Linked DNA regions of Drosophila melanogaster. The protein of the gene in region 1 interacts with the protein of each later gene in a pairwise test. Each region holds a gene or a part of one and is shown in the gene's direction. Other genes may lie near its edges. The genes, in order: dpr17, CG7203, PIG-G and GstO1.

Evidence for each region.
Region 2: the proteins of dpr17 (region 1) and CG7203 interact in a two-hybrid assay, tested with the Drosophila melanogaster proteins (one large-scale study listed by BioGRID).
Region 3: the proteins of dpr17 (region 1) and PIG-G interact in a two-hybrid assay, tested with the Drosophila melanogaster proteins (one large-scale study listed by BioGRID).
Region 4: the proteins of dpr17 (region 1) and GstO1 interact in a two-hybrid assay, tested with the Drosophila melanogaster proteins (one large-scale study listed by BioGRID).

The regions. Positions count from the first base shown.
Region 1 is NT_033777.3:12,090,697-12,099,203, forward strand, and holds the start of dpr17 (defective proboscis extension response 17), read left to right. Parts: upstream 1-4,179; 5' UTR 4,180-4,604; intron 4,605-4,933; exon of another isoform or gene 4,934-5,352; 5' UTR 5,353-5,980; coding exon 5,981-6,320; intron 6,321-7,389; exon of another isoform or gene 7,390-7,960; intron 7,961-8,507.
Region 2 is NT_033779.5:7,750,234-7,757,376, reverse strand, and holds CG7203 (uncharacterized protein), read left to right. Parts: upstream 1-4,190; 5' UTR 4,191-4,269; coding exon 4,270-4,275; intron 4,276-4,562; coding exon 4,563-4,946; 3' UTR 4,947-5,207; downstream 5,208-7,143. Other genes in the region: CG46025 (uncharacterized protein), read right to left, coding at 447-1,060.
Region 3 is NT_033778.4:7,513,807-7,523,041, forward strand, and holds PIG-G (phosphatidylinositol glycan anchor biosynthesis class G), read left to right. Parts: upstream 1-5,473; 5' UTR 5,474-5,567; coding exon 5,568-5,731; intron 5,732-5,794; coding exon 5,795-6,353; intron 6,354-6,414; coding exon 6,415-6,545; intron 6,546-6,604; coding exon 6,605-6,819; intron 6,820-6,877; coding exon 6,878-7,092; intron 7,093-7,144; coding exon 7,145-7,875; intron 7,876-7,935; coding exon 7,936-8,704; 3' UTR 8,705-8,735; downstream 8,736-9,235. Other genes in the region: CG1603 (uncharacterized protein), read right to left, coding at 521-1,357, 1,414-1,776, 1,837-2,100, 2,162-2,458; CG1602 (uncharacterized protein), read right to left, coding at 3,208-4,161, 4,219-4,572, 4,629-5,054; Orc1 (origin recognition complex subunit 1), read right to left, coding at 8,878-9,235.
Region 4 is NT_037436.4:8,520,987-8,528,147, reverse strand, and holds GstO1 (glutathione S transferase O1), read left to right. Parts: upstream 1-3,281; 5' UTR 3,282-3,345; coding exon 3,346-3,373; intron 3,374-3,430; coding exon 3,431-4,014; intron 4,015-4,073; coding exon 4,074-4,195; intron 4,196-4,250; coding exon 4,251-4,281; 3' UTR 4,282-4,406; downstream 4,407-7,161. Other genes in the region: GstO2 (glutathione S transferase O2), read left to right, coding at 4,717-4,747, 5,830-6,416, 6,476-6,613; se (sepia), read right to left, coding at 6,714-6,848, 6,906-7,161.

The DNA.
Region 1 (8,507 bases):
ATAGCCATTGCTTCTCTTTCGCTCGTTTGAGAAGAGAGCTTTGCACTCTTCTTACCAACTGATAAACGTTAATTGGTGTTGCCAGCCCGCGTTGCCAACTACTGGGGGTCTTGGGAAAAAGCTAAAGCTGGAAAAGCTACAGCTAATTGAACTATCGCTCCAGGTAAACCTATAATTTAGCATGGGACTAACAAGCTCACGGGGGAATTTCCCATGAGTGACGAGCATTAAACACCGATGATTAAAGTCGGGTAAATATATTACGATCAGTTTAACGCTGTAATGAATACTTTACACTTTTTTTTTTTTTTAACAGAATCTCTTAATTAAATAGTAATAGCTGTAAATATGGTTTAAGTAATGTTTAAATATTAATAAACATCCAGATACTTAACTTTAAATTTCTTAACTGCGTTACCTACGGGTGCAAAGCTAATTACTTACCAAAAAATAATTTTTCATATACAATTAAAGGACCAATTACCAAGCACGAGGGACTAAGTATTTTAAAATTCCCATTTAGGATGTGTTGTGTAAGAAAAATGCCCAGCTTACCACTTAAGAGGTCTGGCAAGCCCACAACAATTAATATAAAATAAAGCGTTACGATTATGCGAGACAATCTTCATTAATTAGACGCAAGTCGAACATAGAACAAATTAGCCAAGGGTTCGCATCCAGTGGGGGTTTGCGACCCCAACCAACAATGTCATTAACGTCACGTCGCTTTCGCCAGTGTCTCCTTCACCTTTTCCCGTCGCAGGATAAAGGGTGCAGTAATTATATTTACCGTTAATCCTGATTCACCACAAAAGGATAACGACACGCAGGGCAAAGGGTGACCGCCTGAATAGGAAAAAAAAAAATGCAACAAAGAGTGTTAGTAGCGCGAATGTTGTTGGTGCTAAATGTGGGTTACAGCGGTTACAATCAACCTTAATGAACCCGAAAACCAACGCACACGTTTTATCTAGCATTTTTAACTTAGTCAACTAAAATTTGGCTGAAATCAGGGAAAAAACTAATTGCTCACAGAAAGAAATGTGGATTTTGAGTATTGTTGAGGAATAAAAAAATGTTACTGTTACAAAAAAAATGTTACTGTTACAAGGTATCACTCGTTCGACTATTCGGCTTGCACTCGATTCCATCTGCAGTTCATTTACATAGTATTCGATTAAGTGCAATTTACTTTGCGTTTCGATTTCTATGGGTTTCCTTTCTCTATGGCATTTGAAATGAAAAGCGTGAGGCTTAAAGTGCGTTTGGCTCGATTGCCTGAACACTGAAATCAAGTGCGGTAGATTGTGAGCTGCTGGTTGCACTCAAACCCCATTGATTCTCGAACTTTTGCTGGTTCCCTTTAACAATAAACACAGCTCAACTGGCTCAAACCGCAGGTGCAGACTGAACTTTGGTTCTCTAGGTTGCAGTTAATGTTTATCTATTTCCGAATATTGGTTTTATTTTTCTTCAATTGCTGTTCGTCATTCAATTCTTTGAAACCTAAATTTACATGAAATTTTCTAACAGAATTAACACTTGCGAGCCTCAGGCTGTCACATCCGATTCAATAATAACAAAATTATAATTTGCATTATCGTTTGGGTCTTGTTAATAGGACACTCTAGGAGTATAACTTGTTTGGCCTAAGTGCATAAATTGCTAATAAATTGTCACAACATTATGCATATTGGTATTTTCCAGACCATCTCCTTGGCTCTTCAATAGTTTTCCTTCACAAATATTTCATATCGTAGATGCATTTTCCGTTGTACTCGCAGGATAAAATCAAACCAGATTTTCTCATATGTGTATGCGTGTATGTTGCCTTGTACCGTCTATCAGAAATTTGTCTAGAATGTCATTGAAAATTCGCATATTCGGAGAGAGCAGAGTTGGGCACCCTTCCAAAACGAACAAGGATATGGACAAAGGAAAATATATATTTATATGCATTCGCAGGGAAAATTGAAGTCTGAAGAAATCTGAAAAAATTGAGAAAAGCAATCATAATGTAGATATTGAAATATATTGACAGGCGTGCGACTCGAGAGTCACTCCCCAAAATGAGCAAACCAATTTTTGTAGTTCAAGTTCCTGTCCCAAGAGAAATGATGTTTGCTTAAATTTAGCCCAGATGCGATTGCCTCCAACAAAAAATATTAATTTATTTACGACCTTTATAAAAAGTGCTAAAATTAACAGCTGAGCAATGTTTAGCTAATACAAAGCCATCAACTTTCTGTTTGAGGTCTTTGGGAAGAGCAATTCCGACGGACCATCAAAAATGTACTGAATAATTAATATTTATTTAAAGTTTTTGATAAATTTAGCCTTGTTAAGGGCCCAAAATATTTTTTTTGTTATAAAAAAGCAATTGTTGCTAGAATCTATGTTTTAAATAAGATTTACAGTTTCTTAATGGATAGAAATGGAAAATTATATGTGCCAGAAGTCGCTTGTGTAATATTATATATTTTTAAGAGTACTATGCAGTCGCTTTACTGCATACTACAATTTTGATCTTTTGTTTTATTTCACAACTCGATTGATGGGCTTTTAGCAGCTTTTGGTTTTTGTTGCCTGGCTTTTGGCTTCGATAACTGGCGCAACTGTTCACTGTTTTCACTGGCTCAAAGGCGACATAAAGTATATTTTGATTATTTTGTGAGCCAGAAGTTGAGCATTTTAAGGCCCGCCGGCATTTGCATTTCAAATATACTTTTACGACAGCCAGCCAGCCCCTTAGCCTTTGGCCCGCATCCCGCCCGACACCTTCCGCCGCAGGATCTTTTGCTGCGGGCGAGACGAGGTGAGCCACATGGAAGTGGAAGTGAGTGAAATACCACAAATGGCGTGTAAACACAACAAAGAGGTAATAACAATGGATGCCAACGAGGTCCCTGACTTCAAGGACCAATGGAAGGGCGGCAAAAGTAGCCGAGGGGAACTCGTCCGCATTCCTGGAGCCTTTGGGAGGAGTTCTTTACGCAGCGCAGGGGGGGATGGGGGGATGGACTTTGGCACCAAGCGCACCCGCACTTTCGAAAACATTTTTATTTGTTTCTCCGTAAGCTGTGTCAATACACAATAAATTGAACTGAGCAGGAATTTATGTTGGTCCTGTGTGAGGATATTCAGCACCCTATCTGCCCGCTGGCTCTGTTATCGCACTGGGGCGTCAATTGCCTGTAGGCCACCGCCCCCTGGGGACTTAAAAGTTCAATAATATTTATTTGTTACTTGCTCTTTGACAACAAAGCACACGAGATTATACTTAGTCCTAGGCCGTCGTTCATCAAGCCGCGCATATTGGCCCACTCCATTCTACATAATGGCATATTGTCGCACAATACCCGAGACCACAGATATGTCTTCGCCGGGGCAGTAAATTCCGGCCACTAAAGGCGATGATTTTTCAACAGACACCGAGCTAATTTAGTGACCGAATGCCAACGCGGTCACCACCGTGATTTACGGGGTCACCATTTGCACGACTCCAATTATTTGTTGGTTGCCTCGTGACTTTAACCTTAGAGAAAAGTGCTGAAGAACGGATGAGTATATTTCAGCTTAGATTAATGTCAAAATAAAGCTAACACTCGGTTTAAGAGGGAATAGAAATTAACTGCTTAAAATATATATTATATTTTAGGTCGGTTACAAACTGCTAACTCTTAAACTCTTTCATTTTAAAATTGAATAGCTACGAGATTTATATATTCCATGTATCAATCTTTATACCATTTTTAAGAGGCGTCAATTCATATTTTACATCATGGTCGATTTTTGGTGGCGTCGAGCGAACCAATTGATATTCATGTGCGACTAAAATAGGCATTTGTCCGGCGGAAACAAGTGTTTTGTTGGTCATCTACAAATGGCATCCGCGGAATAAAAAATAAATCTTCAATCTTCTGTTGCCAAAGCAGTATTAGCGCGCAGGCGCGAACAAACAGCCGGCAAATAACCCGACGGTTCGATTCCGAAAATTCAGTGCAACCAGAGGGATGTGAACGGCACAAAGCTGGGGAAGTTGGAAACGAACCGGTATGCCACATGAAACAGAGGAGAATCCGATGTGGAACGCTCGACGGAATGGCTATGAATCGGCACTATCCGCCTCGGAATGTTAAGAACTCGATGGGAAGTGGGATGGCGTCGCTCGAACGCGACTCAGTCGAAAATTTGAATCCGGTTCGCGCGGACGTGACTCGGATGGTGGAAGGAAACCCAGACCGCAAACGAAACCGCAACCAGAAGTCAATTTTACGCGTTTATGTCTGAAAGGGACTTGTGCTGAAGAGGCGGGAGTTAGGAAAACAAAATGTGACAACAGAAACGAAGAAAAAAGTTAATGGAAAGTGGCAAAGAAAGAAAAGAAGAATTAAGACAAAGTTAAACCACTTGATGTCCTCTTGGGTGTCCTGTGTCCCGTGTCCTGCAGTGCCGCCTGTCGAGTGTCTTTTGCCGAAATCACTTTTAAAATTTGTTTGCTCCCGCCTTATGCAAATGGATATTAGAATGCCGCGCTGAATTGCGAAGCCGAGGAACAAAAACAGGACCGAAGAAAACAGAGGATTTCTCCAAGGACGCGTAACGTAAAAAAGGGATTATTGTGCATCATTTTGGGCAGCAAGAATAATGCCAAGGAGGGCGAAATAAAAAATATTCTCAAGTCGGATTATGCGATAAATTGTTACTGAAGTGTAAATGTTTTCTCACGTGTTAAATCATTAAATATAAGCCACCCAAGCTGCACACAATTCGTTTAGAGCCCGGCCATATGGCCATTGTTACCTTTTGCCACCGACCTAAAACTCAAAGAAAGCCCATCGAAAGGCAATGTGAAACTTGTTAAACACTATAAATGGTCGAAGTTTTTAAGGTTTTTTTTTGTGCGAAAAGTTTTGGCCATTAGTCATCGAGAACATTGTGTGATAGTTCTGCATGAAAGCCGTGCAAGTTATTAACTTTTAAGAAAGTGAGCCGGGAACCAAGAAAAAGGAAATTCTATGTAATTAATTGCAAAACGATTATGAAAGTTTAAGTGGAAATAAGTTGATTTATATTTCTTGGCAAGTTCGAGCACTTGACTTTTCCATTGATTGAGCTGTTGAAGTAAAACTTCAAGATGTAGAAATATGTTTTCAAAAGTTTTGTTACCATGCAGAAGTGTTAACTCTGTTCAGATTAGTTTTTAAAGAAATACCATTTTTAATGGTAAGGTTATATTTTATTCTTGTTTTAAATACGTATTTTTCTTCACGTGCTTTTAATACTCAATTATATGGTATCCCAAAACCACTTTTACAATCACAATAAAATCGTATGCAAACAACATTTTAGGTAAATGTAGTTATTAGGGATTAAACGGATTTGTGCTGTTCAACAAAATAAGTTTTGGAAGAGACCAAAAAGCTAAATAAACAAATTGGATTACCATGGAATAAAGTCGAGTTCCGATGCCAGTTTATTTGTCTATGCTGGTGCCACTGCATCGCCAATAAAAGTTTGCCACTCAACAAAGGCGAAAACACTTAAATAAATATATAAATCAAGCAACACAAAAATTGTGCAAAACCAAGTGCAGAGACCGAGTAAGCCAACAATGGGTTTGCACGAAAATCGCTTGAGAAAACGCATCGAAAAACTTGTGGCCGACCCATAAAGAAGAATTGCAATTTTTTGTCGAAAGCTAGAAATAAAATCAAATGAAATAAAATAAAATAAAATGAAACAGTATAGAGGTTAGATAGAACCCAAATGGAGGCAAGCCAGGACCCAAGCCAGCCCCAAGTGTATTAATTCAATAAACCTATTTATCTGAGACTTCGACTGGGATTTCGAGAACGGAGCAGAGAATGCGACAAAGTTTGCCAGCCAAGACGGCGCAGTGCAATCAGCAGATCCTGTCTGTCCTGGTCCTGGCCCTCGCCCTGGTCTTGGTCCTAAGGAGCACGAGAAGCCAGATTCGATGCCGCAAACGAGTCCCAATTGGAGGCAGGCGGACAATGAGCGCACAAAAGGCGCTGTAAGTGTCATTGCAGCCAGGAACTGGGCCACTGGGACTGCCACGCAGGACTGGAGCCAGAAGAGCAGCAGTAGCTGGAGCAGCACCAGTCGAAGAACCGGAATCAGCAGAACCAGGACCAGGCCAGCCACGTTGACAACCGAGATGACAGTGGCAGGACGAGCAGAACGAGCAGGAGTAGGAGCGCCGTGGTGTCGCCGATTTTTCCATACATCCCCACTAGCGTCTTGGCTACGCATCAGCTTCGTCCTTTTGGTCCTTCCAGCTCTCGGCTTTGGGATACGTAAGTACAGCTGGGGGGTTTCCCTCACTCCTTGCGTGTGCGTGTGACTTTCATACATTTTTGATTTAATTTAACGCATTCACGTCGCACACTCTAACACACAGTTAACTGGGGATGGAGTCCTATGAACGGGTGGAATACACTTTAGGATTTGATATTCCCTAGTGTTAAACCAGATCCCTCTCTTTGCAAAGGTATCAAATCAGGAAAATGCAGTTTTTACATTTCTTCCTAAATGCACTTTTGTATTTAAACCTTAAATCATGCCTCGTAAAACTAGGAAAACAGCGACATCCTTTCAGTGCATTATGTTCTCCTGTTGTTCTGCCAGATTAACAGGATAAGTATCTCCAACTCCTCGTTTCCTTATTTATTCGGGTACCGGGTGAAAAATCTTATGCGCACTTGGCAACACACACATGGATAATTGTCCTCGTAAGCGGATCCCAAGACGCGAAATAGCTGCTGGCAAATTGTTTTAGTAGTTCTGGATCAGCTGGGGGAGTGGAGGCAAGGAAATTGTCGTTCTTTGAAATTGCGGAGGATGAAACTGGGGGCTGAGCTTCCCGTTGTTTCATTTGATTTGCCGAAATTAGATTAGAAGAAGCCACGGGGCTAGCGAAATGGGAAAACAATGGCCCATAAAAGATGACAAAAAGTTGTGCGGCATTGCGGAGCGATTCCTTATATAGGGGTTCTTCTGGTAATTCTATTTAATAAATAATTTAATTCGAATTTTCCACGTAATTAAGATAACTTCCTTGTGCACAGTGACTAGTTAATATAATTTATTCTGACCCGTAATAAGCACTTGAAGATGAAATATTGAGAAATATGCTAATTATATCGATAGATAGTGTCATTTTTATTCAAGCTAGATATATGTACTTGAAAAAATTGATAACTTAAGATCATGAATGCTTTTAAATTTCCAATCGGCTTTTCATTTTGTATTACAATCTTGCCTTGTTTGAAATTTATTTTACTCTACCAAACTTTCACAAGTAAGCAAGTGATTCAATGCCATTATTAGTATTTATTCCTTAAACAGAATATAAGCTCAAAATTTGTTAAAGTTAAGTGATCTAAATTTCTTGTAAACCCTTTTTTAAAATGGCATGTGCTTCATATGGTGCGTTGATTATGGAAGTTCTTAAAGAAAAGAAGTGCCCAGTGACTTATCGAGAAATCTTAGAAGAAGTAGCCTTTAAGCTTAAAGTTGCAAAAATGCATATAAAGGGCAGCGTAGATGTTGCACTGCGAATTGGCGTAAATAAAGGACATATTCTCAAGACTGGGCACCGATTCTACCTGATGAAATCAGAAAAAAAAAAAAACAAAATGCGAAAATGCCAAAAAAAACTTGTAGATCGAATCAAAAAATGCCGACAGGATACGTCGTTGCTTGATAAAGAATACGATTTTGAGGTTTTGACATATTCCGACGATGAAGAGGCTATGGTGTTTAATTATGTAAATCAAGAGAAGTCAAGCAGAAAACAGAAAACAATACTCCGATGCCATAATCCAGTGTTCAATCCGAAGTGTTAGAAGGAAGGACACAATATGGTACTCACAGAAGTTCAACGTCAATATAAAAAGCGAAAAACGACCAACATAAGTACAAGCTGCCAAAGAAGGTAAATTTGTAGTAATATTAAACTTAAACGGTTTGTAAATTTTAAACCAAAGAATCCAGTTTTTAGGTCCAAAGCGGATTTATATAAAATATGTCATTTTTTACCACAAAAATTTTAAAATACAATACCCATTTTTAAACTTTAAAACAAACATCCGCACCTCTTATAAGTGAAAAAGTTTTAAAATGGCCCACCGTTTCCGCAAATAGTTTCGTAAGGTCCTTAACCTCATTGCTTTCCATCAGCAAAAGCAGCTTCTCATTCTGTCGACTGCCCAATAATGGAGGCAAAAATAAAGCAATAAACTATAACCCTTCGTATAACTCTACGTTGGTCCTTTGGCTTTGCAGCCGCACAAAAATATTAACGAAATTGAAAACTTACCAAAAAATGTTTAATAAACACGTTTACAGCAGTGTGGACTTACCCCTTTCTAAATCCCTTATACGATTTCCCCACTGAGCTGCCCTTCTGTCCCTTTATTACAACTCTTAACAAAATGCGCTTTTGGAAAGTTGTGAGTGCAACTCGTTATGCCATAATGCGG
Region 2 (7,143 bases), on another chromosome or scaffold:
ATTTTTCTCTCGACTGAAGGTCGCAACATAATCTATGTTTTTGTTCTTCAAATCCCATTTTGCCTGCTGTTATTCACTTCATATTGCTTGTGAAACAGAAAATATGGGATAGAATGGATTTTTTTTAAATTTTGTTGTTTTTTTTAAACATATTTGGGCACTGAAATATGTATATTTATGAAAGTATTGATATGCGTTCTAATCAAGGGTTTGAGTATTGGATATCATTTTATTATAGCCCACAATGGTTTTTGTTCCTGGTAAGCTTTGCAAAAAGCTTTTATGAATTGTTACACTTAGAAAAATTACTTGAGCCTTTCTAAGTGATATGTCTTTTAAAGCGGATCAAATGAATTGATTCTTAATTATAATTATAAATTAAAGTAGACTCACAGTGCAAAAACAGCAACTTTTGGTTGAATTGAAATCTCTAGGATTAGTCTTACTTGCACTTGACTAGGTCCTGCAGATCCTCCGGCGAGAGAGCGTACTCAGGATCTAGCTGCGGAGTATTACGCTTCCGACTGCGATGTTTCCTGCGAAGACCAGATGGACTTTTTGCCCTGGAACGGACGCCCAAGGCAACGTTATCACTGCTCTGGAAGCTGGTACTTATGCCCGGATCCTGGATGACAATGATGGGAGCACTCGAGGAGCGCTCATCGGTGTACTTGACCGTCGAGGCAGCAGCTCCGCCAGTCAGTTCCTCGGCCTTGGCCTTCTCGGCAAAACTATCGCGCCGCCACGATGGCGTGAGCGTTCTGATCACATTCTGGGTGTCCGAGAAGCCCTCGTAGTTGTACTTCTTACGCAGACTCAACCCCGAGAGGTACTCCAGCGTTTGCCAGACGTTCATCTTGTTCGCACTGTACGAGGGCTCCTCGTCGACTGACCAGCAAGCATTGCGTGCAATCCGCTGGGCCAGGAGCATAGTCACTGTGGCACATCGGTTGCCCGGCGGCGGGGGTGCCCATTCCCGGGAATCGGATAGTGCAACAGTTCCGCCCACGCCCACCACTCCGATCCCGGCGGCATCAGACTTCATGGCCGTGAGTGACATATGCGGAACAGTTTGTTTAGGCCCAAATTGAAATGTAATTAAGTTTCCGATTCCGTTTAAAACTTCGTCCTCATCCTGCGACGACCGAACTTTATATGGCTACCATCGCACACGATTCTGGCTGTGCTTCTGGTTCTGTTGGTGATTCTCTGATTCTAGGTGGGATCAGGCGCCACCACCGTCGGCGTGTCCGTTGCGTGGCAGCCACGCGCTCGTACTCGCTGTTTATTGTATCCATTTTGCGCCATTAAAAATAATATCATTCTGATTGAGTGACGCGCCGCTTAAGTACTTTCCTTCTTCGTTGTCCTCGCACTGACACCATTTTCCGCCTGCCGCCGCTTTCCTTTTTATTGAACACGCAAAGTGTCGGCATTGCATTGGTGTATTATATGGTATTTCTTTTTTCCCACACCCAAATGCCTTTTCATTACCCCGTTCGCGATTGTTTTTTGGGTGGGCCCTCGCCTCCTGGCACCTCGCATCATTGTGGATACGCAGCCCAGACAAAAGGCAAGTGAAACCCATGCTAATGGAGCGAGGGGTTGCCCAATGGATTTCTCCACCACACACTGTTTTGACATTAGCCCCATTTCGTAGGGTACCTTCGCTATACAGTGAGGTTTTACTAAGATAGCAATTTAATAGAAAATTGAATACATTAAATTAGCTTTTTCTTCTATTGATTTATAAATGCATCTTCTTTGGTGCATAATTATCTAAAGCACTTTAGTTGCACTGCAAAAGTTCTTTCACAATAGATCACTTAAGAACCCTTATATTTTAACTTTTCTCTCGGTATTTGCTTTATGCAAGCTCAAAAGTGCGCAGTTTTCTAAGGACACAGTCCGTTCAGTTTCAATTTACCCCATATCTGGCAAGAATCTTAACCTTGGTGCCACACAATTCCCGACTTTAGTGCTACATAAAGCAAGGCAACCCGCGAAACGTGAGTTTTCCGGCGACCCAGTGAGAATAACCAAGTCAATTTCCCGTTTCCATCACTCCTGTTCCCCAATTACTTGCCAAAGTTTCGCCGACAGCTGATGGCTGCACTTTCTCCCCTTCGCGCCTCTGGGTGTTCATTTGCATTCGAGAAGTTGGAGCCATCTATCAAAGACTTCGTTAGCATCGCGTGACTGAATGTTGTCCGGAAATTAGAACCACCCACTCAAGCCGAAGAAGATTTTTTTTTGACAAGTTTGGGCAGCAGGATTAGTTTATGGATTAGTGATAAATAATCTTATCAGACGATGTGATGCAATTGAGTGCGAATATTTCCCCATCGCACATTTAATTGGCATGGAAATATTTCTGGGTGTGGCAGGCCAATACTTTATGTGTAAGTCTGACAATTTGATGGATGCAATAAAATATTATGGCTGCGGCTGTGGCAAAGAATCTTAATTGAATGGCAGCGCGCTGCATTGGAGCCAATCGGTGTCAGAGTCACCGAACCAACCAATTGGCCAACTCGAGTGCACAGGAGAAAAGCAGCTAATTTTGGAAAGGAGTTTTGTGTTGTTAAGGTATAAATTTGTATTTCAAGATTAAATTCAAAAGATTTTTTTTGATTCCGAATCCTATTCACTTGATGCAAAATCCTTTTTTGATTTACCTACAATTACTAAGTATTCCTCTCAGTGTAGCCATAAACAGCACGAAAAGCACTTGACGGCAATGAATTCTGACACACGTGTGCCAACCACTCAAACTTCCCCACCGCCCACCTGGCTGGTGGTTCGACCCTCAATGTTCTCTACTCACGCAACAATGACATCGGGATCCTCCCACCACTTCTTGTTGGAAGGCTGCAGCAGCAGGCTGACCTGTCGCCAGTGGTTCTTGTGCACCACCTTTGGATGAACATAAAAGTTGGAGATTAATGCTCATTTTATGGACTGTATTCCGGCAGTGGTTACCTTATACTTTTTGGGATCGTATGCATTGTGATCTTTCTCCGTAAACACCAGGCGTGCCATTTTAAAGCCTCCGAATCCTTTCTAGAACCAAGCCTGATTCTGCTTCTCAGTGGGAGTTCTTTACATCAAGTATAGTACTCGAAAATATAAAGTATGCTTGCTTGAAACGGAATTAGTTATTTGTGTATACTGACTGAAGATTTTGCTTTGACAAAAGCTTTAATTGACTGTTAAATGAAAGATATAGTGTTGTTAAATTTTTAATTTCACAAAAATTTACCCTAAAATGTACAGCTCTTACTTAGAAAAAATTAAACGTATGACAATCTCTACTGATATTCAAATGTTTTGTAATTTATTACGTAGAATTGCTTTCCGACTTAAAAGCGAAAGTGGTTTGATTTACTTATCGTTTCTTAATGGAATCAATAAATATGTTCTATATATACAATTACGGATTACTCTACAAAAGGGGGTATAACTTAACATATATTAAATTATAAACCATTATTTTATATTTAAATACCAAATAAAATTTACAAAATTTAATTTTCATATTTTAAGGATTGGTAATATTTGTAGTGAAATCGTTTCCTACATATGGACTCTGATTTTTATATGGTATTCCTGGACATATGTTGGCGTTGACTGCATTAGTGATATGCAAATGCAATCGAGAAATCTATAGTCGGTGACCAAAATGGATCAGTTTGCCGACAACTGGCGGCCGGCACATTAATTTCAGGGCGAGCTAACCGAAGTGAATTTAATTACATTCTGCTGATGAAATTTAAATGGACAGCCAGTGGTGCTGAATGTGTGTGGGGCGATGGTGGTACAGAGGCACAGTGGTGCTGCGGTGGCTTGTAATTTGCCTATCCATTGTTGTTAGGGGCACCCGAGACATGGCTTTAGTGTATATCATATACAGATATTGAAGTCATGGTTATGGATTGGCCGAATCAAATGAGACCAGTCTTGTTTTCGTCATGTCAACCGGTGTGGCTAATTGTCGCGCACTTGAATTGTCGTCAATGAATTGTGGTTATTGATTCGGGAAGGTCAAGGGGTTCGGGTTGGGGTTGGGGTTGGGACTGAAGGTATTACGTGGTTTGTTCTCTGGCCCGGTTTCCGCATTTGTGCAGCAAACATACACATGGCTGATCAATCCGAGAACTGGCCTTATATGCTAAATGAAATTATGGATCGGAGCTATAAAAGCACTTGGCCAACGGGCAGATGTCAGTTAGTTTCGTTTCAAGCGTCACTGAGATCACAAAAGCCAACATGAAGGTGAGATTGAAGGGATATCGGATAACTGGAGCTTAGTTACAGCTAGTGTTATGTAAAAGGACAACATGAAGGGATTTATGTTGTTTTTAGTAAAACATTTCTATACAAATTGGTATGCTGCAAAAGTAGACATAAAAGATCTTTATCGAGTTATACATAAATTAATATCAGATCGCTGAACACATTACGACCCCATTCAGAGAAACTCCAAAATTAAAAAAACTTCAAATAAGTTATTTTTATCATAGTTCCTGAGTTTCCATCTAAATCAAGATTCTTATTTTCAGTTCGCCGTTGTCGTAGTCCTGTTCGCTTTGGCCTGGGGTGTCAACAGCTCGGTGGTGCCTCTCCTGACCTCCGCCCATGGTCTGGTGGTCGGTTCTCCCGCCGTCGCCGGTTCGGTGGCCATCCAGGCATCTGCGGTTCCCGCTGCCGTTCCCCTGTCCCTGTCCCCAGCCGGACCCGTGCTCATCCAGTCTGGACCAGCGGTGGTTGCCGCTCCCGTTCCCGCCGCTGTGGTTGCTGCCCACGCCCCCGCCGTGGTGGCCGTCGCCGCTCCGGAGGCCAGCTATGTGGCCAAGACCCGTGGAGCTGTCCATGTGGCTCCTCTGCCAGGACATGTGCAGTCCGCTGCTTCCGTGAACTTGGAACCCGCACCAGGCACCTGGTAATCACCTGAAATGACTTCTGGATTACCCCTACATTGATCCTGACCGCCACTTGCTCGCATCTTTACCACATTTTTTGGTTTTTTAAGTTACCGAAAGGTCTGTCCTCTGCTGAGATCCCGTTGGGTTCTCATTTCTTCAGCAATCTAAGTCAATCCTATCCAGTCTATCGCTTTCCGCTTTACTCTCTGGTCTATATTTATCCACCCCGCTGTTGTCACATGGAAATTTGTTTCTTTTTGAATAAAAAAATGTTATTAAAACAGTTGAAAGGCGTTTTAGTTACGGTTGCTAGCGCTTAAGTAACTATTTATATGCCATTAGCAGATGTATCTAGATCGTGGTCCCAGAATATTTATTTCAAATAATTTTTACGCAATTACCAGGGGATCGACTCACCTTTTTTAACGGCAATTAGAAGCCACACCCTTAGCCCAACTCCCACGCCTTCAAGTGCAGCAAACATTGGACAGCTAAATGGCTTAAAACAATCTCGATCGATGGCCGATTACCGATGCCAGTAATTAATCAATTCCGGGGCCTCAGACCGGCGCTACAGCAGGGGCGTTGACAAAAAGCCGCTCCAGAAATGAGACGCAGTTGCTCGGCAGCTGGACAACTTTGTTGCCAACTCATAGTACAAACTGCCGTCGAACCGAACTGGTCTTTGAACTGAAAACGAGAGTACTACTCGATCTGGAGCAGGGGCGGTTTGCCTTGATCGCCGCACACTCGCACTTGCAATTATTAATAGAAAAATGTGCACAAACTTGATATGGCCGCGATGAAGTTAAGTAATGCCCATGCAAAGTAATGCGGTTCAGATCAAATCCGCCTTAACGCCCACTGCAGACCCCTGAAACCCGTTAGGCGATGATCCCGATTCCGATGGGATATATAGGACTATATGCTGTTATATCTAGTGAAATATATGAATAGTAAATTGCAATTTATATTAAATATTAATAATTTCAGTATGCCAAAAATATAGTTGAACTTTCTTCTTTGCACTTCCAGCGGCTGAGTAAGGAGTAACTGATAGTTGAGGAAATCGACTCAAGCGTTCTTTCTTATGTCTATATATTTTTTTATAAGACATTTAAAATTATAATTTTCAGGGTATCCCATATGGTGAGTTCAATACAAAAATATTAAATATACTGGCTTAATGCCCCAACATTTTGACCGAAAATAGACTTGACGGAAAACATGATAAGCGAAAAATGCCTAGGCTTTCAATAAAAGTGTCAATTGTCGGCGAAACGTGAGGCCAAGAAAGGGGATGGGGAATGGAGTGGGAGGGGGAGTCGACTCAGTTGGGGGGCGGGGAGCCAAGTGGCAGCTAAACAAACGGCAGCGAAACATTTTGCCGCGTTGTTTAGTGTCGTGTCGGCAGCCAAGCCCCATGGCAATTGGCCATAAATCTAGACCCAGCCATTCACTTTTTGTTTTCTTTTGCTAGCCACAAGTGGGCTTAACTCGATCGGCGGCTGCGTGCACGCAAAACCAAAGAACGCATGACGCGGCTACCGAATGCAAGTTGGCTTAAACCGCCACCACCAGCCCCCTTTCGACAAGTTCAAGTTTACGCACTTTGCGGCTGCTTCCTGCTTCGAACGGGTTCACTGCACTTGAGCCGAACGCACTTAGCTGTTTCTGGTTTCTACGCAGAATCGAGTTCAACTTGGCCCACTGCGTTGGATTTGCTTTTATTATTGGTGGTTTACGCAATTCGCACTTCATTCGTTGGCAAGGCGAAGGCAGTTCACTTTTAGTTCACACGGAAACTAAGTTTGCCAATTTGCATCTCAAAGGTAGTTGATTTTAGATCATATTATGGATAACTACTATCTGACTTAATATGATGAACTATTTAAATAGTAAATTGTTGCTGGTAAATAAAAAGCATATTAAATACCATGGCAAGCTACTTCTGTGCAATTTAATTACATATAAAGAATGTTGACTTCATAAATTTTGTAATTTATACTATATAAACAATTATTCAATTTAAGTGTTTATTATAAGTTGAGTAACTTAAAGATAATAAAAAGTAGTTCCAAATAGATCGTTTATTGCTCGAAAATTTGCCATATCCGCATTAGTTTTATTGACAATAAAAAGCATATAAAAATGCCACACCACATTTATGGAGCAGGTGTGTAGAAAAGTTGGACTTTTTTGTGAATCCGCATACAGA
Region 3 (9,235 bases), on another chromosome or scaffold:
ATATATTTCATAAAAGAAATATAAATACATTGTTAAAAATGAATATATATAAAATTTTGTACACGTCATTTGATCAAAAATAATAATAATAGAGCTGCTAGCTCTAGAGCTCTCCGCTCTCTGACTTTTGAACAAAAACTCGGGAGAGCCTCAAGCCAGCTCTAGATCTAGAGCCAGAACCAAAAAATCATATGTTATTCTAATATCTCCTCTACAAGTAACGGTTATACAAATTTATCTTAAAACGAACTTATTTTTCCGGCTTCTTCTTTTTTTTATGAATAATACATTCCTTAAACCAAATTTTGAAAAGGAAAGTATGAAAAAGGAAAAGCTTGTGCATATGATTATCATACACATGTTCTTATCAAATACACAAAAGCCGTAAGTGCTTAACAACACGCTTGTTATTATCACTACTCTAACGTAAGTTTATTCTTGATTTACATCAAATGAAGCTTACTGATTCTCGTTATCAAAAAATAAAGCAGTTTCTAAAAATGTCCCTCAAGGCGAGAGTTCATTCCGATCTGTGGCTGCGGCGATGTCTGGAAAGCGAAGAATGGTCATAGAACGTAGCATCACAGTACTCGCACTTCTTATCACGGATATTCAGATGTCCTTTGATATGGTTGGCCAGCTCGAACTTCTTGCGGAAGGTTTTGGTGCACATATTGCAGCTGTAGGGTCTAATGTTCAGGTGAACTCCGTTGACGTGGTGGTCCAGGAGTAGCTTGAGCCGGAATGTCTTGCCGCAGATGTCACAGACGTGAGGCCGCTCGCCCGTGTGGATTAGTGTGTGCACCTTTAGGTCGGTATCCACGGCGAACGATTTTTCGCAGTACTGGCACTTCAACTTGCGTTCGAAGTGGGAACGCAGCTTGTGACGGTCCATGTCTACGTGGCGGTCGAAGCGCCTCGGGCAGAACGAGCAGAGGTACGGTAGGTCGCCCACCTCGTGCGCCTTGACGATGTGCACCCGTAGGTTGTAGTCGCCGTGGAAACGTTTATCGCAGTAGTCACAGTACAGCACCTGACTTTCGGAACCCTTGGCGGGCAAGAAGCTGCACATTTGCAGATACTGAACCTCTTGCTTGCTGCACTTCTGAATTAGTTCCTTGGATTTGAGGCGACGAATGGCATCGTAAAGCCAACGGCGCAGCTTGTTGACCGCAATGTAAACGTCCGTTTCGTTGGCCTTCACCACTGGCTGGAATTCCTTTGCCATTCTTTTGAAGGCATCTGCACGTATCTCTATTGAGCCAAAGTCTGGCAACGCTTGATTATACAGCACGGGATAGTTGGCATAGGTCTCTATGAATGAGGTGGTTATCAGGTTTTCCTCCTTAAAATTAAGCTGAAAAAAGGATTTTTGGTCAGAAAAGAGCTACATTATAGTGGGCTAGTTATTACCTTAATTGCAGTCAAGTCGTTGTCCTCCTCGTTCTCCCTTGGCGTTACAACAGGCGCCACACTGAGGAACTCGCACTTGGCAAAGTAACGCGCTGCAAGTCCAACAAGCTTTCCCCTTTGTTTTGTCTCCAAAGCCAGCGTGTACTGCACGTGCAGTTGCTCGAGCGTTTTCTTCAGTTCTTCCACGGTGAAGAGAACATTGGCCTTGCGGTCCATGCGTTCCATTATCGCCTCGTAGGCCATGCTTCGTGCAGGCTCGTCCTGGTAGTGTTCATCGGAAGGGTTCCACAGGCAGGGATGCTCTTTGTACGCTTGGATCAAATGCAGCACACGGGGATTGCTCCGAATAAACGAAACTTTGAACTGAATGACGCCGTTAAGTGGAATGAATTTCAGCTTAAGTGAAATATACTACGTACTAACCTTGAAAACCTGTCCTGGTCTTGTTCGCCTGGGCGGACGTCCAGGTTTTCTAGGAGGTGCCAAGTCATCCTCAGACATAAAGAAGTCACTACAATCAACATCATCATCGTCTGTGTTTAGGGGTATGTGATTTTGGGAAGACTCGTCCATTTGTGTGACTTCCTTTCCGGCTGGAAGTTCCAAAGAGCTGCCGCCTGGACCGAACTCCCAGGAATTGTTTGTAGCTGCAGACCAAGCGGTGGCGTCTTCCTCGTACTGGATATCCTGCGGTCAACGAGAGCTCACTTATTTGACCACCCTTGGTAAGCGAGTGAAAGAGTCTTACCTTGCTATCAGCTTCCATCCATTGATCGACCCCATTGCTGTTTTCGATCACCTCGAAGAACTCATCCGGCCCATAGGCGATGGCTGGGTCCGCCGCGTCAACGACGCTGTATAGCTCCTCGGTATCCTCTTTGATTTCATTAATCCTAACGTCCTCGTCTTCGCAGTAGTGCGCCGATTTCACATGGACGATGAACAGCTCCCAATCCTTCAGCTCGCTCTCTATGCTGCAGTAGAGGCATTTCAGCCGGAACATCTCGTACTTGGAGTTGGTCATCACATTGCCGCACAGCTCCATGCTTACGTTGTGCGCTCTGATCTGACTTCAGCTTGAAAAATGTTCCTTTTCTGAAAATATATTCGTTTATTTAAGGTAACAATTTTTTTATGCGTTTGGGACTGTGTTGGACAACGACTGAAATAATTATGTATCGATAGACTATTCGATAAAAATCTATTTTTAAAATAATATTTAAACACAATTTTATGAAGGCTTAAAAGAAAACGTTTTAACAACTGTTGGTGGTGCTTAAAAATGATTAAAAATCTGCATTTCATGAATGAATCTTTAAAGTAACTAGTACATTTCAATTTTCGAAAAAAAATGTTATAAAATTCTAGTACTAACCATTTGGAAAAATCAAAATCAATCAAGCTTATTTGTTGAGAAATTATATTTTTTTTGTCATATCGATAGAAAATAGCGAGACAAATATGAACAGGAAAACACCAAAACGTTTTTCAAATGTATGGGCGTTACAGTTGTCGGCGCCTTGTGGGCGTGCCAACATTTTGGAAAAAATAGCGCAGCGTAGGCAGGGGAATGTGTTTAGGCTTTTAGATGTACATCCCCAGATTTCGACAGATGGACATGGCCAGATAATGTAGAATTTATATTCTTAATTATTAATATACATTCTTAAACCGTTATATAAATAAATTTGTTTAAACATATTGTTTCACTCTCATTTGTGTATTTTTATTTCCCCCCATTTGCAAAAGATTGCCTATTTATAAACTGTCATTTTATTGCAAATTTAATCAAATTCAGTTCTCTGCATCCACAGCATCTTTACCCTTTTGTGAATTATTACGAAGAATGTTGTGGGTGCGCTTCATGTGCGTATTAAGACCCACAAACTGGGAGAACCTGGAGTCGCAGAGTTTGCACACAAACTTCTTCACCTCGGAGTGAATCTGCCGGTGTCGGATGAGTGCATGGCAGCTGGTGAATCCCTTACCGCACACACTGCAGATTTTGTCGCGGATGTTTAAATGGCCCTTGATGTGATCCGATAAGTCGACCTTTTTCACAAAGTCTTTGGGACACATGGTGCACTTGAAGGCTCTGATCTTCGTGTGAATAGCCGTGACGTGGAGCGTCATTTGGGACCGCAGTCGGAAGGCCTTGCCGCAATGCTCGCAGACGTAAGGCTTGTGGCCAGTGTGCGTACGGATGTGCAGCTGCAGGTCCGACATCACAGCGAATGAACGCTCACAATGGGTGCACTTGTGGGTCTTGCCGATATGGACCCGCTGTATGTGATTAGCCAGCTCGCAACGTCCCACAAAACTTCGGTCGCACAAGGTGCATTTGAAGGGCAGCTCGCCGATGTTGTGCGCCTTGAAGATGTGCGACTGCAGGACATGATCCGAGGACGTAATCTGGTGGCAAAATTCGCAGACCAGCCGCTGCTTGTACATCTTTGCAGGCATGAACCGACACACCTCTAGGTAGAACTTCTCGGCTGTACTTCCGGCATAAATGGCATGCTTAGTGTTCTTGTAGTACCATTGGCGGAGATTCTGGATGGCGCGGAATATGTCATCGCTGTTGATGTCCACATTGGGCACTGAGATTTCCGCAGCCATGCTCTCGTATGCCTGTTTTCGAGAGCTCATATTGGAGAACTCCTTGTGGTTGGAGTCGTATAGCTGCGGAAAGTTTGCGTACATCTCTATCAGGTCGGTAGTCAGCTTGTTTTTCTTGGAGAAATCAAGCTGCGGGCAAAGTATGCTTGTTAACAATTTCAATTTGAATTAATTCAAATATCTTGCCTTAATTTTTTCGTTATTCGTAGCCCCTTCTTCATCGTTGCTAGCGTTCAAGAAGCAACACAATTTGTATATACTGAAAGCCAGCGATTGAGGTTTCTGTTTTCCAGACACCACCCGCTTGTGCACGGTGTTGAACTGCATGTGGACTTTCTTGATGGCCAGCTTTAAGGCCATCTCGTTCAGGAATACGGATACAGTTGCCTCCAAGTCAATGGCCATACGCTTCAGGGCTTCTTTGCATTTCTTGGGTTCCTTGTAGTCGCTGTGAGCGGGATTCCAAAGGCACGGGTGTTCCTTGTAGATCTCTATGAACTTTATGGTTCGGTGATCTCGGCGAAAGAAGGATGGATGAAACTGAAGTTGAATGCTGAGATTAGTTTAGCGCGTTCATGAATGGCTTCTAGAAGTACCTTGTATGTGGGTGTGGTTTTTAAATTGGCATCATCAAGAGCTGGTTCACTTGGATCCTCGTCCTGGACGGATTCTTCTTCATCTGTAACCAAAGATACGTCCGACTCCTCAGTCTCGTTTGTCGACGAACGCACTGCGTCAATATGCAGCTGTACACAGGCTCCGTCCGCCGATTCGTCTTGCTGGAATATCGACTCTTCCGCTTGGGGTTTCTCCTCTGGAGGATCTACGTGCCCAGACTCCGTAGAATTTTCCCCCACTGGCTCGAAGTCGTCTTCCATGCTCCTTACTTTGCTATGCACGTTGCGGATGTGCAGCACAAACTCCTGCCACTGGGCCACCTCCACGTCCGTTGGACAGTAGGAGCAGCGCATCAGGAACTTCTCGTAGTCCCTGCTCACACAAATAAGGCCGCAAGTTTCCATTTTAAGTTAGAAATAACAATCAAAAGCGTTTGTTTATACATATCCGACTATGAGAGACCATGGGCGCATTCACAAATGGGCAAAAGGGTTCGACAGACGATATTAAATTCGTTTGTTTTATAAGTATCAAATTTAAAAAATTTCTTTTATATGTAAGATTTTAAATGTAAATTAAGATAAATTAAGTATAAAATAATATACACTTCGAGAAATGGCAAAACGTTAGTAATATTATGTAAATATTAATACTTTTTTTCCATAAAGCTAACAAATTTCCTCTCTTAACTCTTTCGTATCAATAGTTTTAAAATAAATATAAATTATACGTAAGACTTTAGCATTTATTAGTTTTATGTGCCTACGCCCCTGAAGTTTTGCTTGCCGTCTATCGATAGCATACAGCACTTATCGATTGTCTAGCCTTTATATTTGACTTCCAGCTGACGGGCGGCAATTATATTGAATTTGTTGTGGTTTTCGGTGGAGCGCGGTACTTTCGATGAAAACAAGAAGATGGAACAGCACAAAAGTTGGCTGGTCTATACCATCGGCATGCTCACGGCGTTCCTTTGCGGCGCCGTGCTCTTTCTGATTGGCTTCTTTCCGGCCTCCTACTCGGTGGCGGAGAAGGAAAGCACCGTGCCAGAGGGCCGGCCCACCGCTCTGCTTGGCATGGAGTGAGTTTATGAGCTGATAATTGCGTGAGATAGCGCCCCTATAATGCTCGTTACCCTTTACAGACTGACGCCGCCGCCACCTGCCTATGACTCCTTTGTGCTGTTACTGGTCGACGCGTTGCGCGATGATTTTCCCGATGCCACGTCTATGCCGGTGGCTTATTCTAGGGCCTGCGAGAAGCTTAAGCTCCATGTGGACATACCGACGGTGACTATGCCACGCTTGAAGAGCATCACCACCGGCACCCTTTCGAACTTTATCGACATTGCGCTAAACGTGGGTCATACGGAGCAGATGCAGGACTCGTTCTTGCACCGGCTAAAACAGCAGAATCGAGTTGTTTCCTTTGCCGGCGACCACACCTGGGTGAAGCTCTTTCCCAGCGAGTTTACACGGCAGGTCGAGAACCATGATTCCTTTTATGTTAACGACTTCTACGAGGGCGATAGAAATGTGACCAAAACGCTGGAGACTGAGTTGGAGCGGAGTGACTGGTCTTTGCTGATTTTACACTATCTGGGCCTCGATCACATTGGTCATGTCGAGGGCAATGCCAGCCCTAGGGTGCCCCTAAAGCTAAAGGAAATGGATGAGGTGGTGAAAAAAATATTGGATCATAAGGTGAGCTATTAGATAGCTTAATATAGAGGGAAAGCTGTAAAGTAACTCCTTCCCTATTTAGAGTTTTCCCAACGTTCTGCTTATGCTGACTGGAGATCATGGCATGGCTGATGGCGGAGGACATGGCGGCAATACGCCAGCCGAAACTCTGGTACCTTTATATTTGTATTACAACAACTGCAGCAAAACACCGTAAGCCCCAAAAGTACAATCTAAAAGAAAAACTGCATCTACAAATGATTCTTGCACAGATCCGCCTCAAAACGGTACAACCAAATCGATTTGGCGCCCACCCTTTCAGTGCTTCTGTCTGTTGAAATACCCACGCTCTCCATTGGCTGCCTAATACCGGAGATGCTGCAATCGCTGTCTTTGGAGCACCAGTTGTATGCTTACTTCTACAACGCCCACCACTTGCTCAACAAGGCGCGAGTGAAGTTCGGCCACGAAATAGTCCATCGGAGTGGTAAGGTTATGATCCCTCCGCGCCGATTTCTTTAGTTAATTATTCATTCATTCTCCAGATTACTACACCTGGTATCAGAATGCCACCCTGTTACACAAGAAGCTGCTGCGCCCTTTAAGAGAAGGCGATGGAGGTGGAGCTAGTCAGGTTTACTACCAGAACGCCAAGCTTAATTATATGCGCGTGGCTCGCGAGATTTCTGATCTGCTCTCCGAATCCCTGGTGAAGTTCGACTATGGATTTATTGCCGTTGGATTAGCTTTGACCACATCGGTAAGTTTTCTGACCAGTTTTTAAGTACGCTATAGTGACCACGTTCTTTCAGACATCCCTTCATATTGTGATCAGCGTCTTGTACTTGGATCTCACCGAACAGCTTCAGCTGGACGGATTAAAAGTGGGGCAACTGTGGCTCTCTGTGATTGCTGCTGTCGTCTTAAATTATACTAGTCATGCATTGGACATCATCATGACCAGTTCAACGCTTTACAGCATTCTCCTATTGGTACCCATCTCGATCGCTGTTTACCTTACAATCGACGTGGCGCAGGCGCTGCTCAAGATTGCATTGCCTCCGCTATACACGCGTCGCCTGAAGATTTCCATTCCATTGCCGCTACCTCTGCTAGCTTGTTATGCTATACGCACTTTAACTCTTGGTTCCTCCTCGTTTATTGAATTCGAGTATAATACATGGTATTACCTGGGCAATACCCTCATCCTATTGACGGCATTCCGAACGCTGCGATGGCGCATCACCAAAACCAACGTGGAACTAAATGGCCGTCATCTGTACACGATTGCATCGACCTGTCTGTGGCAAATGCGTAAAGTGCTTGTGGTGCTTATGCTGCTCACATTGATGCGCTACATCCACAGGCTGCAGGCTATCCGGAGCACCGTCGTCATATTTTCGATGCTGTTGCTCTGGGCACGCCTCCATCGTCACAGCCAGTTGCCGCAGTCGTTGGCCAGTGGAGCAGCTTTATTCATGGTTTACTGCTTCCGAGGGCTAAACGGCCAGGTGCTTTTCTTCGACGTGCCTTCGCACATGGCGTAAGTTTAAATGAGTTCAGCCTGAATATTGTGGTATAGTATATTTTTAATAATTTCCAGTGCAAAACTTATGGTGCCGACGCTGGTGATCTTCTGGTGCTGTTTGGCCCTTGTTTTGATGCTGGGCTATCGGGCGGCACTGCCTCAAGCGCACAGCTTTGGGAAGGTGCCGCCCACAGGTGCATTATTGCAGTTGCTGCAGACGAACCTTACCAGCTCGCTGCTGTTGGCTGCACTTTTGCAACGGGTCCACAACATCTTACTACTACCCGTACTTCTCGTGGCCCTGCAGCAAACGTACAAGCTGTGCGATGTCTACGGCACCAGTGCCCGAAAGTTCTCCGTGCGATTGGTGCATGTGTACAAGATCATCATGACCATATTCCTGGCCAGGATGTTCTTCTTCTACCAGGGTAACTCGAACAGCCTGTCCACCATTGACCTAACGCCTGGTTATATCGGACAGACAAACTACAACCCGTCGATCGTTGCCATCTTTGTCACCCTCAACACGTACAGTGCGGATATTCATGCATTCCTCTATTTAGTTGTCCACACCCTGCGCTCGGATCTGCGCAGTGTGGGTATCATGCAGCTACATCCTCCGTACTCGATAGCCGCGGATTCGCTGATAGCTCCGCTCTACGCCGCGCTAATCATGTTGCCGGCGGCCTTCTACCTCTGCCTCTTGGTTGGCTTCCGCTACCACCTCTTTATCTACTCCGTGTTTTCCCCAAAAGTACTTTACGACTGTTACACTGTGCTGGTGTTCTATTTGGTATTTTTAGTAACGAGTTTGTACTTTAAATTGTTTAAACATGACGCTTAAAAAGAAATAATTTAAAAACGCTTAAGCTATTACAATGTTGTATGAATAATGAATGATTTAAAAATGGTGGAAATGTGATAGGTCAAGTAACCTGGATTTGGAGTCTTAAAAATGGAGATGAGAATTTAATGTGCTTAATTAACTTCTTATTCGTTTGTTCTTGCATTATGGCCTTAGTTGACCATCTCTTCCACTCTGAGGGCGTAGTGAATGTCATCAGCGCTGACGTTGAGCAGGATTTTCTGAAAGAGGTCATTGCGGGAATGTTCACTGATGATGAGTCGCTCGGCGCCCAGCTTGGAGCACAAGCGCAGGGCGCGTCCTGGTGGTGGAAAGGTCACGCCCATGAAGGCGGCAATAGTTTCCACCTGCTGATAGACGCCCATGAAAGTCGTCTCCTCGACGCCAGTGCGCGTAACTTCAGCTGCAATTGCCTGCAAGAAGATCTGCTCCATCCGCGAACAGTTCCTAATGGCCTGCACCTTGGCACTGGCTATCATCTCGGCCAATGCCTGCTGCACGTGCAGCATT
Region 4 (7,161 bases), on another chromosome or scaffold:
GTACGATTAGATTTGCTGAATCGACTTTAGTTCGCATAACATCTCCATATCGAAAATCGCACGCGTCTGTTTTTTCCGAATTCTCGTGGTAATTGTATAGTCGGCAAGTCACTGAACTCGCTGCTCTCTGAATTCCATGTGTACACCAAAATTTCGCATGATATCTCCAACGAATAGTGCTGTCCCATACGGATTAAATTTCCGCAGAGTAACCCTTTTTAGATGCGGAAAGCTTATGCAGCTGAGTCAGCATAAATGAATTTCATATACATAGAACCTCCACATAAATTCGTTTGGCATCGCAAAAGATCTCCATGCTGAAATTTCAGGATAAGGGTGGGTCTCATTTCGCAAATTGTGAAATTCCAAAACGTTCTGATTACTTTTCGATGAGTCAACATCATGAAATTTCACATTAAATCTCAATTTCATATACTCAAAATTCCTGGAACCCATTCCACATTTTATGCTTCGATCGCACAATCAAATTTCGCATGACATCCGCACAAAAAGCCTAAAATTGAACACGCGATCGCTCAAAGTTCAATAGATAAAACTTGATGAGTAAATTTCACATGATATGTACATACATGGTATCTCCACGTTTTTAGGCCCCTGACACTGCATAATATCTCGTTTTATACATGTCACAACCTTAAACTGCGAAATTAAATCTAGAAACGTACTCGTAGAACTCCTCGCAAGATTTATGAACAACTACTATGCACAATCTACAGTTTGTTTAGCCTGAAATTTCCACCGTACATCTACATCTCCAGATCGTCTCTCTACCTGCTGAGCAATTTATCTTTTATCTTGGCCGCAACACAAACACGAAATTCATACCTGAAACTTCAGCGAAATAACCTGCGAAAAGGTGTACCCAAGAATCCAAGCACATACATACACACACAAATTTGGGCATTATCTTTTTTTTTTTTTGTTTTTTGGTTTCTACCTTTTCATAAGCCAAAGCTTGATGTGAAATTTCAGCAGTGTGTTTAGGAAGATATGAAAAACCTCGCGTCATGTGATGGCCACATGGAACTGAAGTTCTGGATGGGTAGAAGCCAAGTACACACAACTAGACTAAGCTGAGGTCAATCACGTCGGATTCAGATTCGGACTCGGTCTCGGAATCCGAATGGACAGCTACGGATCCAATCCGATTGGATCAAATCCGTACGGAACGAGGCTCTGACCTTGCCATGCTCGCCGTCTGCTGAATTACATACTATGTACGCTGGCTGGCTGGCCGGTTTAGTATTCAGCTAGTACGACCCACCAAGTGACACATAACTGATGTTGAAGGGCTGGCCATATGCGATAAATAATTCATCTGGGGGCATCGAAATGATCGTGGATCGCCGAGAAACGTTTGTTTTCCGTATTGAGTTGTTGGTTGCTGAAATGGTTGGCTGCCTCAGTTGTTGGCGCCTGGTTGCAAGGCATTCATAGCTGATATTGCATTTTTTTTTATTTGCAAATATACATATCAATTTTTGCAAATTACGCTGGCTCATGAATAATTGATTGGCGGCGGGCGTTTGGCGGAGAAATGGAAAAGTTCGCGCCCGATAAGGATGCTTCCCTTTTGGCCACCACCGGCACCACTATCTATGATTCATGCACCACCTACACTTCTAAAAAAAAAAAGACAAAAACAACAGAACTATGTGGAAGGCAGCCAAAAGTGCGAAAGGAACACATGTTGATATATGGGTCAGTGGCGATAACAGTGACGGCTTCCAAAGGGGGTTACGCATCCGGAATACAACTTAAATATTTCATATCCCTCAATGCGCAATACAAATATAAAATCTAATGACGTTATGTGTAAGGTGATAAGAGTATTTATTTACGCAAAATGTAAGCTGTGTACGTCGAACACGTGGATTGTAATTGTAACTATGATCGTTTGGATAAGTCTATTGATTTAAATAGAGAGAATGCTAGAGATAAAGCATACGCGATGTGAAGACTCATCCACGTTGTCTTCCCCCTTGAAATCTTATCTAGCCCCGCCAGTGGATGATAAGCATTCTGGCCCGTTTGATAACACTAATTCCATTGATTTTGCGTAATTAGGCTCTGAAGATAGCGAGCATGGAAATGGTATCAGAATTGCGCTGAATTATGTATAGAACACATTGATGATGTCGATCGAAAATAGCATAAAAACGTGCTGAATATCAGTGTAGTTACGTGTGCATCTGCGTATGTGTGTGTACAACAAATACATATGGATGTAAGTGAGCGGGTGTCAAAATCACACGCACATGGAAATGTCCCGCTATAAATAAATACGAGTGGGTGGTGGTGGGTGGATTTTGGGCGGTGGGAGGTGGAATGGGGGCGCGTCGCATGCACTTTCCATTCTGAACGAACTTATGCCAAGATTAAACAAAGGCGAATAATTAATGCAAGCCCACTACTAACTCACCCGTAAATTTGCCGGACTGTTTAGCACATCGCACACTGTAACACACACTCACACAATTCCCACTAGAGTTATTGCGGGATCGAAGATAATGCTGGACGATTCTGGGAGCTATAGCTTTTGCCGATGCGGTGGGCGTGAATGAAAGAGGCCGTAGAGATTACGCCGAGTGTCAATTACGTTGCAATAATCTCGGTTTGGCACGGGAAATCGAATCGAAGCGAGTCCGCATGGAGCGGCGAGATTTGCACGGGATACGGAGTACGGGATGCGGCCACCAACACCAACACGGGCTCAGTTACGCAAGGGCGAGCTTACTGTAAACATTTTCCGGACACGCTAAACATATGCCGCAGCAGCCATCTCTCTTTCGCTCACACCGCCAAACACAAGAAATCCGCAACTAAAACAATTTTGTTATAACAATTATCGATAGGCGGTAGGGATGTGGAAAAACACCGAATCATCCGCGATAGGTATCGGTGTTCCGTTGCTATCAACGCTACACATCGATGGCGATCAATGTAACCTCTTGCAGCAAATATTAAAAACGATAAATATAAATTGATTTTAGATTAATTATGTATATACAATATGTATTTGGAGCAGTGATGCAAATAGTCTATTATGGATATATAACCATAAATTATTGAAATTAAAGTCCTAAATAATAGATGAATAGATGACTGAATTATATTTAAAAAAATTAAAGTTGTAAAAATTAATATTTAAGATTAAGATAGATTTTTTTAAACCGATTAAATAATAATTGATTAAAAATACATCAATCCTGTAAAAAGACAATACGTTATCGAGCCACCTTAACGTTTACTGTCAAATATCGATAATTGTCATAACCCGCAAAACAGGTTGTGTTCCTTTCCAGAAAAAATTGTATTGCCAATATGAGCAATACTCAGCACTTAACTATTGGTTAGTATAAGTTACTAAGTTCCAAATTCACATTTAAAAGGCGCATATATATTGCAGGCTCGCCAAAGCCCGTATTTCCGGATGATGGGATCTTAAAGCTGTATTCGATGCGCTTTTGCCCCTATGCACACCGTGTGCACCTGGTCCTGGATGCCAAAAAGATTCCCTACCACGCTATCTACATCAATCTTCGCGACAAACCCGAGTGGTTCTCCCTGGTGAGCAGCTCCACAAAGGTGCCGGCACTGGAGCTGGTCAAGGAACAGGGAAATCCTGTGCTGATCGAGTCGCTCATTATTTGTGACTACTTGGACGAAAAGTATCCGGAGGTGCCATTGTATCCCAAGGATCTGCTTAAAAAAGCCCAGGAGAAGATTTTAATCGAACGTTTCGGACAGTTCATCAATGCCTTCTACTACCTGTTGCTGCACGACAATCCCGAGCAGCTGGTTGACACCGATCACTATGCCGGATTGGTCGTTTATGAGGAGGAACTGAAGCGACGTTGTACCAAGTTCTTTGGTGGCGACAGCCCAGGCATGCTTGACTACATGATGTGGCCCTGGTGCGAGCGCTTTGACTCTCTGAAATACACTTTTGAACAAAAATTCGAATTGAGTCCGGAACGTTTTCCCACTTTGGTGGGTCCTATTGGTTTTCTAATTATGTCTTTTAAATTACCGAGATTGTTCTACTGCAGATTAAGTGGCGCGACTTGATGATCCAGGATCGTGCTGTCAAGTGTTTCTATCTGGATGGACAGACCCATGCCAAATACATGAACTCCCGGCGATCGGGCCAGGCCGATTATAATATGCTATAGTAAGATTTGAAGATTATACATATAATGTGTGACTGATCCATTTCTCGTTTCTAGCAATGAGGCCAAACGTGTCAAATTGGGGTAGTCTACGGGATGATGGCGTTTCCACTTCAGCATTGTACCTTTTGCACATATAACATGTAACACATGTACCTACTACGGCAGCATTATTGTGATTGAAAAATAAATCTTTGCATTTTCATTGTTTATACGGGTTGTAAGTACGTTTGTTTTAGAATTAGATTAATGAAGGTATGAATGATAAATGGATATGAAAATACTTATCTTAGAGTAGTCGTTTGTAGTCTTTAATATGTGGTCAAACAATTTTCTTAAATATGAGCTTAAGAATTTTAAATTCACCCGCTCAACAATCGAAATATATTCGATAAATTCACTCGTCCGGCGACTGCGACCACTTTATAAGGTACCGGAATCCCTCTATTTGTTGTCAGTCGATCGGAACTACTTTGCCACCAACATTTCACGTCTTGGGAATTATTTTAAAATTGTTAACAAAATGGCCCTGCCGCAAAAGCACTTCAAGAGGGGTGAGTTGGGGGCACTTCAAGGTCATCGGGATAGTGACGCTGCAAAAGTTGGCAATTGATTTCATAGTTTTATCTAGACCCCACTTTGAGAGGCGTAAATTACGCAGAGATAGAGCTTTAATTTTAGCCAAAGCATAATGGAAAACTTTCTGCTGACGTCACAAATCACCCTTCAACAGGTTCGCCCAAACCGGAGATCCCCGAGGATGGAGTCCTGCGTTACTATTCGATGAGATTCTGCCCGTACTCGCAGCGTGCCGGTTTGGTTTTGGCCGCCAAAAAGATTCCACATCACACGGTTTACATTGATCTTAGCGAGAAACCAGAGTGGTACATCGACTACAGTCCATTGGGCAAGGTGCCGGCTATCCAGTTGCCAAATCTGCCTGGACAACCGGCTTTGGTGGAGTCCCTGGTCATTGCCGAGTACTTGGATGAACAGTATCCGGGCGAGGGCTCCCTTTTCCCCAAGGATCCATTGCAAAAGGCGCTAGACAGGATTCTCATCGAACGCCTGTCGCCCGCTGTCAGCGCCATTTACCCCGTGCTGTTCACCAAGAATCCACCCGCTGATGCCATCAAGAACTTTGAGACCGCTCTGGATGTCTTCGAGCAGGAGATCACCAAGCGCGGAACACCATACTTTGGAGGCAACAAGATCGGCATTGCTGACTACATGATTTGGCCCTGGTTCGAGCGATTCCCGGCCCTCAAGTACACTCTGGATGAACCCTACGAGTTGGACAAGACACGCTATCAGAATTTGTTGAAGTGGAGGGATCTGGTGGCTCAGGATGAGGCTGTCAAGGCCACCGCTTTGGATGCCCGAATCCATGCGAAGTTCATGAAGACCCGCCATGAGAACAAACCGGACTACGATGTAGCCTTCCAGCCCTTGTAAAGGATGTATTAATGGATGACAGGAAGCAACATACTTAAACTAACATTGTGAAACCGCTTTTAAAAAAATATTAAACCCATATATAAAGTAGACCATCAAATGTTATTTCTACCTTTTCAACTGGGATTTGGGTCAGTGCTTTTATTCCTGCCAATTAATCAAGCTTACATTGATCTTACAGGTTCCACCAAGCCCGAGCTGCCAGAAGATGGAGTTCCTCGTTTCTTTTCCATGGCATTCTGCCCCTTCAGCCACCGAGTTCGTCTGATGCTGGCCGCCAAACATATTGAACATCATAAGATCTACGTCGATTTGATTGAGAAGCCTGAATGGTACAAGGATTTCAGTCCTCTGGGCAAAGTGCCAGCCCTGCAGCTTACTGGGGTGAAGGACCAACCGACCCTCGTGGAGTCGCTCATCATAGCAGAGTACTTGGACCAGCAATATCCCCAGACGCGACTCTTTCCCACGGATCCGCTTCAGAAGGCGCTGGACAAGATTCTAATCGAACGTTTTGCTCCAGTGGTCAGTGCCATTTATCCTGTGCTGACTTGTAATCCCAACGCTCCGAAAGATGCCATACCGAACTTCGAGAATGCCTTGGATGTTTTTGAAGTGGAGTTGGGCAAAAGAGGAACGCCCTACTTTGCCGGCCAGCACATTGGAATCGTGGACTACATGATTTGGCCTTGGTTCGAACGTTTTCCCAGCATGAAGATCAATACGGAGCAAAAGTATGAGCTGGATACAAAACGATTTGAGAAGCTGGTATGTTTAAGTAATCCAACATAAGATGATGCATGTATCTCATCAAAAATCCATTACAGCTCAAGTGGCGCGATTTGATGACCCAGGATGAGGTTGTGCAGAAGACAGCTTTGGATGTCCAGTTGCATGCTGAGTTCCAGAAATCGAAGACCCTTGGAAATCCCCAGTACGACATTGCCTTCAAGGGTACACCATAGAACGACAACTGGTTTAGACAAGATCAAATCTTTGGAACCGGTTATGGACTGCATTTATGTTTTATTCATTCCATGCGAAAAATTCAATAAACCAAGTGCATCAGGCATCCTTGACCAGCAGATTGTAATTGGGTCGACCCAGGCTCCGTGTACGCAGGAACTCCGCCTGAACCTCGGCCTCCATGTAGAAGGCCATCACAGCCGGATCTCGTTTCATGCGTTCCAGCCAAAGGGTCTGAAAAATGGTATACTAATGTACTTCATCACTCCTGGGATACACGGACCTGCTCACCAGCTGGGGGAAGCGACTCTGATCGTAGTTATAATCCTCTCCACGCTGCAACTTAAGGAGCTCGAGGCGCTCACACCAGGGCCAAATCATATAGTCCAGAATGCCCGTCTGCTCGCCACCAAAGAATTCCGTACCACGTCGAGCCAGCTCCCTTTCGTAGATGTCCAGGCCGCTCCAGAAGGGCTCCAGATCACCGCCATCGGATGCCTTGAAGAAGGCACCTAACACCGCTCTAAATCGCTCGATTAGTAACTTG